2 linked regions of the Diceros bicornis minor genome follow. Each later gene encodes a partner of the first gene's protein in a complex. Links are inferred from orthologs where the notes say so. Each region holds a gene or a part of one and is shown on either strand. Other genes may lie near its edges. The genes, in order: ZMYND8 and DBN1.

What was found.
Region 2: the proteins of ZMYND8 (region 1) and DBN1 are in contact, whole or in part, in a crystal structure (PDB 5Y1Z), measured with the Homo sapiens proteins. The link is inferred for Diceros bicornis minor from reciprocal best matches to the Homo sapiens genes ZMYND8 and DBN1. Residues at the interface, in NP_001350670.1 of Homo sapiens: Gln167, Pro168, Gly169, Thr170, Gln236, Ile237, Val240, Lys243, Ile244, His247, Trp269, Leu285, Gly287, Phe288, Phe307, Gly309, Gln310, His311, Asp312, Ala314, Thr335, Lys336, Ser337, Ile338; in NP_004386.3 of Homo sapiens: Met1, Ala2, Phe6, Ser7, Arg10, Leu11, Leu14, Tyr17, Glu18, Asp92, Ala93, Cys96, Ala97, Ala99, Ser100, Lys104, Glu107, Phe108, Gln110.

Annotation. Positions count from the first base shown.
Region 1 is NC_080758.1:14,226,618-14,230,522, forward strand, and holds the start of ZMYND8 (MYND-type zinc finger-containing chromatin reader ZMYND8), read left to right. Parts: upstream 1-1,003; 5' UTR 1,004-1,042; coding exon 1,043-1,086; intron 1,087-3,905. UniProt on the Homo sapiens protein: Chromatin reader that recognizes dual histone modifications such as histone H3.1 dimethylated at 'Lys-36' and histone H4 acetylated at 'Lys-16' (H3.1K36me2-H4K16ac) and histone H3 methylated at 'Lys-4' and histone H4 acetylated at 'Lys-14' (H3K4me1-H3K14ac).
Region 2 is NC_080740.1:90,683,090-90,686,994, reverse strand, and holds the start of DBN1 (drebrin), read left to right. Parts: upstream 1-1,087; 5' UTR 1,088-1,156; coding exon 1,157-1,521; intron 1,522-3,905. UniProt on the Homo sapiens protein: Actin cytoskeleton-organizing protein that plays a role in the formation of cell projections. Required for actin polymerization at immunological synapses (IS) and for the recruitment of the chemokine receptor CXCR4 to IS.

The sequences.
Region 1 (3,905 bases):
GAAAATTGGGGATTCGGGGATCCTCGCATTTGATTCATTCAGCCATTCCCTGTTTAACATTCACCAAATTATTTTTGAGCACCTACTATGTGCCAGGGAGATAGAGAATTGAACAAGAGGCACTAAATAAGAAATCAATAATAGGAATTTATACTCAGTTACTAAACATGTATTACATATTAAATTATGATTGCCATAAGCACCTTATAGCAGGGGGATCCATTTTATTGAAAAGTGGGTCCAGGAAGGCTACCTTGAAGAAATGAATTTTGTGTTTTTTTTTTTAAATAATTTTATTTATTTTTTTATTTTTCCCCCCAAAGCCCCAGTAGATAGTTGTATGTCATAGCTGCACATCCTTCCAGTTGCTGTATGTGGGACGCGGCCTCAGCATGGCCGGAGAAGCGGTGCCTCGGTGCGCACCGAGGATTTGAACCCTGGCCGCCAGCAGCGCCAGCAGCGGAGCGCCCGCACTTAACCACTAAGCCACAGGGCCGGCCCCTGTGTTGGGTTTTGAAGGATGTGTAGGAGATACCTGATAACAACAGTGATAACTAAGTGGTGCCAGACACAGCGCTAAATAATGACTTTTACTACTGGAACTGATTTAATCCTGATGACGCTCTGGGAGGTGTTATTATCCACATTTCACAGGCCCAGAGAGGTTAAGTTACTCGCACAAGGTCACACAGTGAGTGAATGGCAGCGTTAGGATTTGAACCTTCCAGGCTGGCTGGGGTCTGGCTGGAGCTCAGAGAATGGAGCTGAAGTTGGAGAAGGGAATCCTGCAGGCCCGCGAAGGCTCACTTAAGAATTTGAGACTTTGGCCAGAGAACAATGGGAAACCTTTGAAGGGTCTTAGAGGTGGGGGGTGGGAGATGGGGGTGTGTCCTGGTCCAAATTGAAATTTCAAAAGATCCCTCTGGCTGCTGAGGGTGGGGGATGGGAGCTGCCTGGGGCCTGGGGGCTGGTGGGAGGCTGTTCCCTTCCTGCCCAGATAACAGATAATGGTGGCTCCAGAGCCAGCCACCAGCTCTGCAGAATGGAGCTACGCGGCCGGAATCGACCGTGGAAGACGCTCAGGAGGTAAATCCCACGGGGCTCTGGGGTGGGAGCGGGGAGAGGAGAGGTCAAGGGTGACATCCAGGTCTGGGGCTTGCAGAACTGGATGGGAAATCCGGGAGCTTGGTGGCCTGAGAACACCTGAGAGTTGAGTTTTGACCAAATTGCTCTATGTCTGGGATTTCTTTCTGCCTTTGGTGTGTTTTTTGTTGTTGTTGCTAAATTGGTTCCTATCGCCTTTGAGTGTTTCCTGTCTGTTTTGTTTCCCTTTCTCCATAGTATTTGTTTCTCGGTATTTTAGAGACCAAGAGGGCTTAGACTTCATTTTTGTTCTGAATGTCTTCCTTTTTCAGACGGGTAAATTACTTAATCTCTCTGCGCCTCAGTTTTCTCATCTGTAAAATGAGGGTAATAATGGTACCTGGTTCCCAGAGTTATTGGGAGGATTAAATTAATTAATACCTAAAATGTGCTTAGAACAGTGCCTGGCACGTGGTGAACCTCGATAAGTGCAAGGCGCTCTTCCAAGGTGAAGATGATAATATGGATGCTGCTGCTGTTGTCATGACAACGAGGAGGGCGATGGAGGCAGGGGTGGCTGTGGAAGGAGGCTAAAGCCCAGAGAAGTCACTCCAGTTACTTAGCAAGTATATGTTCAGCGTTTTTTGTACCCGGTAACAACCAAACTATTTAAGAAGTTAAAAGCTCAAGGAATTTACATTACACTCAAATAAGCTTTGAGACACTCTTGAGTGCCAGACCTGCTCTAGACCCTGGGTGACAACAGTATATATGAAAACGACACGTTTCCTGCCTGGAAAAGCAAATATAACAACACTTAATTTTAGAATGTGTTAAGTGCTGGGGAGAAAATAAAACTGCTGTTGTGACATGATGTGATCCCAGGGGGCCTCCTGGAGGAGGTGACATTTGGTCCTGGATCTGAAGCAGAAGGAATAAGTGCAAAGCTCCATAAGGGGTGGGATCTAGTTTGGCAGGAGACAACTGGCACATTTCGAGGACCCCAAAGTAGGTCAAGGTGGCTGGAGGGCAGTAAATAGCTGAACGGGAGAATTAGTTGATTTATATTTCTACATACCGCCATCGATGAAATTACTGGTATTCGACTTTTTAGATTCATATGCAAATTTTAACTGCATGCAGTTCAACCTAATAGATTGTGCAAGAAGTTACAAAGTCCAAATTGGGGCCATGGTTGATGCACTGGAGATCTTGTATAGATACTTCAGGTAAGAAGAAAAGGCCACTCATTAGACAAATATTTATCGAGAAACTATTACGCCCCAGGCCTATGCTGGCCCCGGGAACACTGGTGAACAGATATACAAGTCCCTGCCTTAGTACAGAGGCAAAAAGTAAGTAAACAAAGAAATACGGTGCTTAGATGTTGTGCTAAGTCCTAGGAAGAAAATAACATGGCGACGTCCCAGAAAACGTAAGGGAGTCTGCGTCAGATGGCTGGTCAGGAGAGGGCTCTGGCAAGAGGTGGGACCTGAGTCGAGAAGGAGCCACATGTGAAGGAAGGTGTTCCGGGGGAGAGACTGGGCGCATGAGACTCGAGGTGGAGCGAGCCTGGAGAGGCTGAGGAGGAGCTGAGGACGGAGGCCAGTGCTCCCAGCGCAGAGGGAGGGAGGGGGAGTCATCTTAAAGTAGCCCGGAGGGGGCTCTGCAGGCCATGCTCAGAGCAACAGGATTTTCTTCCGAAAGAGAGAGTTGCAAAGGTTTTCTGTAAAGACCAGAGAGTAAATATTTTAGGCTTTGAGGGCCACATATGGTCTCTGTTGCAACTATTCAGCCTTGCCATTGTGGCACAAAAGCAGCGTGGACTATAAACTAATGAATGTCCATGGCCGTGTTGCATTAAAACTTGACTTGTGGACGCTGAAATTTGAATTTCATATAATTCATGCAGGCCACAAATTTTTATTTTTGATTTTCTTCAACCATTTTAAAGTGTAAAAAGCCATTTTTAGCTAGAGGGCCAGACAAAAACAGGTGTGGGCTGGATTTGGCCCCGGGGCTGTAGTTTGCAGACTACTGTTCTGAAGTCATGGGAAACCATTGGAGGGTTCTGAGCAGGGGAATGAAAGGTTGTGATTTATGGTGGGAAGGTATGAAGACATGGCTCAGTGCCAGAAAGTGGATGTAACTCTGTAGAAACGAGCAATCATTTAGTCATTCAACAAACACCGAGTTCCTGTAATAGATAGTCATGATGCTGCTGGAGGGGACCCAGGATCTGTAAAACACAGTTCTACACTCACAGAGTTTATAACATAGCAGGGGAGTTCGAGAGCGAGATACAAATACTTACAACTTTAAGGTCAAAAGAGAGACACAAAAAAAGCAAAAGTTGCATTGAAAAATAGCAAGGTGGAGGACAGAGGTGGCTGGAGTGGAGTGAGCTGGGGGAGCTGGTAGGAGTTGAGGGGAGGGCATGCAGAGGAATTGGGATTTTATCCCACGTGAGATGAGCAGGCTGTGGAAGGCTTTTTTAATTGTGATAAAATACACATAATGTAAAATTTACCATTTTACCCATTTTAAAGTGTACAATCCAGTGGCATTACGTACATTCACAATGTTGTGCAACTGCTACTATCTAGTTCCAGAACTTTTTCATCACCCCAAAAGGAAAAACCCTGTACCCATTAAGCAGTCACTCCTCATTTCCCCTCTCCCCAGTCCCTGGCAACCATAAATCCACTCTCTGTCTCTATGGATTTGCCTATTCTGGATATTTCATATAAATGGAATTGTACAACATGTGGCTTTTTGTGTCTGGCTTCTTTTACTTAGCATAACGTTTTCAAGGTTCATCT
Region 2 (3,905 bases), on another chromosome or scaffold:
GCAGAGGCTCCGAGGCGGTGGCGGCGGCGACTCCCTCTTTTCCTCCCTCCTCCTCTGTCCGTCCGTCCACCCGCGCCTCTGTCCGTGCGGCCTCGGTCCGGCCCGCAGCATGGCCGGCGTCAGCTTCAGCGGCCACCGCCTGGAGCTGCTGGCGGCGTACGAGGAGGTGATTCGGGAGGAGAGCGCGGCCGACTGGTGAGCCCCCCGCCCCCGCCCCCCGGCCCTTTGTCCCCGCGCCGCCGCCGCCGCGCCTTTGTTTCCGCGCGGCCCGCCGCCCCGTAGCCGGGAGGGAGGGGAGACCCCGAAATGGTGCAGCGGCCCGGGAGGGCCGGGGAGGGGCTGCCTTTGTGCGCGCCGGGGGAGGGGCCGGCCGGGCGGGACAGTGCCGGGCCCCGAGCGCCCGGAGGCGGCCCCAGTCGCGCGGCGGAGCCGTGGCGGGATGCGGCCCGGAGAGACGCAGGGTCCAGATGTGTGGCCCGGGGCCGCGTGGCCCTGCGGGAGCCCCTTCCCCGCCCCCTGCCCCCGCCCCGGGCCCGGGGGACAGGTGTGCACGGGACGGCCAAGGGCACCTTCGCCACCTTCGAGCGGGCGAGGACCGGGCGGGGATGGGGCGGGGACCGAGCCAGCGGAGCCAGCGCAGCCTGCCTGGCCCAGCCCGGCCCGGCCGCAGCACAAAGGAAAGCCAGGGCGGGGGAGGAGCGGGGCGGGCTGGGGGCCGGGGCGCCCCGCCCACCGGGGGGGCCTCTCCGAGTTGGGATGTGATGGAAAGATGTTCACTGCCACATGGCAACCGCCAAGTGACTCCTGTTCCCCTCAGGGGTCGCGGGGGAGGCAGGGATGAGTCCTCCTCTCCCCGATCTGAAGGGGAGTGCAGGGACGATCTGAAGGGGAGTGCAGGGACGGATCAGCCGGGCTGGGTGATGCCAAGGGGACCCAACTGCCTACCTCGCCCGCCCACTGGGGTCCCTGAGAGGAAGCCGTCAGGCACAGAAATGTGGAGGGAGCCCCCAGAGAGGGATGAGGGGGTGAGTGGATCCACTGAGTCCCTAGCTCCATCACCCAGTGTCAAGGGGCTCGTGGCTCTCTGGTGAGGGAGGAGCTAGGCTGCCCTCTTGCCGCTCTCCAGCTGTTGTCTCCCCTTGAGCTGTGGGAGGGGATGGACTGCCTGCTCTGGAGCCGGAGTCCCCAGGGTGGCAGGAGAGCCAAGGGGTTCCACATTGCTCCATTCAGGAATCATCTTCCCCTAAACACTCTTGCCCTGGGGCAGGTGTCCATTCTGTTCCCTAGGCCCCCTCTTCTTCTGGCAGGCAGGAAACTGAGGCACAGAGTGAGGGCAGGTCTGAGGAACCTCCCTTGGGCTGGCCTCACCCTCATGCTGGGATGGCAGTCAAGTAGGGATACTGACCTGGGGGCTGGAGGAGGGGACAAGATGGCCAGGCGTCCATGCCACAGTACTGCAGCACTGGCGGGCAGCCAGGCCTGGAGGGATGGACGCCAGAGACGAGCTCTCATGTCTTGCAGGTCAGTCATGAGAGAGGTCAGCAGAGGCTAAGCGGGCAGGCGGCCCACCCATTGTCCCAGCCCTGCCCCTGGGGGGCTGAGATCATGGGAGGAGTTCAGGGTAGGTAGCCAGCTTGACCTCATGGAGGAGCTGGCCTTGGGATATGGGCCCTGCCTGGAGAGAGGCACAGCCCACCTCAGAATACCCCCCTCGCCCTCCAGTATGGTGGGCACTGTCCATCACCGCCCCATTTCCCCCTGGTGGCCCATGCAGGGTCGTACAGCCACTGCTGGCCCGCATTCTGCTCAGCAGAGGCCTGGGCTCCCACCACCCAGCAGCATCCATGTGGCCAAAGCGAGTTATTCATCAGTAGTGTACGTCAACCCCCATCTGGGTTGTGTGTGGGACACACACACAGATGCACACACGCACCCTCACACATACACACATTTGCTCACTCCCAAGGGCCCAGATAGCATTTCGTGAAAAGGGTGTGAGGATCACATCCTGCAGAGGGGGCTTGAGTGCCTCCAGCACCCAGCACAGAGCCAGCAGTGCAGGGGGTCTCAAGACTCAGGGGCAGACTCTACATTCAGAGGCTGCAAGAGGGCGTCTTGGGTAATATTGCTGTCTGGACAGAGGAGGCTTGGCACTGCCCTCCCTGACGTTGCCTCTGAGTGGGGGTGTGGGAGGGAGCTCACTCTGAAATGGACCACTGCCCTGGCGCTGGGGGCGGGGGACCCAGGAAGTCAGGTTTTATAGTGGGAAGAGCCCGTGTCGCCGTGGACGTGATACGACTCGCTGTGTGACCACACACAAGTTCCGGCTGCTCTCTGGTCTTCTTGAAAACAGGAGGAGGGGGTTGGCTCAGCCATCTCTGGGACAGCCGGGGCCCTTCCAGCCCTAACGTTCTGAGTGTGATTGTCCTGAGGGGTCTGCCTGCTCTCAGCACCCCCCATCAGCTGACCCAAGGATCTTCCTGCTACATTTTGGCTCCCCCCACCCCAGTCCAGTTTCTCTGGCCTAGGATGGTTTCTCGGAGTCTGTGTCAGTATCACAAACACCTACTGCTGCTGCTCTGGGCTGGCCCCAGAACCCAGAGAGTGATATGTTGATTGATGGGGTTAGTCATCCTGCCTTCACGAAGCTTCCAGTTGGAAGCGTCTGTCTCCAGGAGTGGAGCTAGTGAGACATAGATTCCAGGGCCCCCATCCTGATTCCTTGCGGTTTCACCAGCTCCCACCCTTCCAGGCCCAGGCTGCCTCTGATGTGTTTTCTGAGAAACATGGGTCTAGTGGGATCTGGGGTGGGCTCAGATGCCCCTTCCTGTCCCTGCTAGGGTGTGGTAAGTGCTCTGGGGAAGGGGCCGCTCAGGACAGGGCTTCCTGGGGAGCTGGTATTGGGTTCCTGAGGGACTTCAGCCAGGGGTGGGCATGGGGTGCAGAAGCAGGTCTGGCCTTCCTGAATATGCAAAGGCTTGAGGGTGGGAAATATCCAGAACTGTGTTCGGGATCAGGGAGCCATCCAGTGTGACTGAAGTATGTGGTGTGGATACGGACATCTGGCTGGAAAGGCAGGTGGGGCAGAGCTCAGGGTTGAAGGCCTGTTGAAGGATTTGAACTTCGCTATGGTTTCCACCAGGTAAGGGCTGTGGCCACAGCAGGGAAAGGTAACTGGAGGTGAGGAGGCAAGGGTTTAGAATGGAAGGGCAGGGCAGGTGTTCCTGGGAGGAGCCAGGCCCACAGAGAGGCTGACAGTTCCGCTCAGGGAGATGGGATGTCTAGAGCAGTGTCTGGGAACCAGGGTCTCTGAGTTCTGCCTCAGTGTCTCATCTCATCTGTGGAATGGAGAGAGGCAGACCCTGCTTCTCTGAGAGCCCTTTGTTCCCAGCGGTGGGCTAGGGCAGCCGGACAGGTGGTGGGACAGCTGTGCTGGGAAGCAGCTGCAAGGGCTGGGGCCCGGGCAACAGTTGGACCAGGAGCCTGTGGCCCCACAGCCCACCTGTGTCGATTTCAGAAGAGAGGGATCCTGAGAAGTGGGAGGGCTGGGGGGCCATTTGACTTGTCCTGATCTCATGGGGCTGGACCAGGCCCTCCTTCCTTCCTTCCTCCCTCCCTTCCTTCCTCCTCCCTCTTTCCCTTCCTCCCTCCTTGCTTTCTCCCTTCTTCCTGCCTCCCTCTCCCTTCCTCCCTTCCTTCCTCCCTCTACTTCCTCCCTCCTCCCTCTCTCCCTTCTTCCCTCCTCCCTCTCCCTTCCTTCCTCCCTGTACTTCCTCCCTCCTCCCTCTCTCCCTTCCTCCCTCCTCCCTCTCTCCCTTCCTCCCTCCTCCCTCTCTCCCTTCCTCCCTCCTCCCTCACTCCCTTCCTCCCTCCTCCCTCTCTCCCTTCCTCCCTCCTCCCTCTCT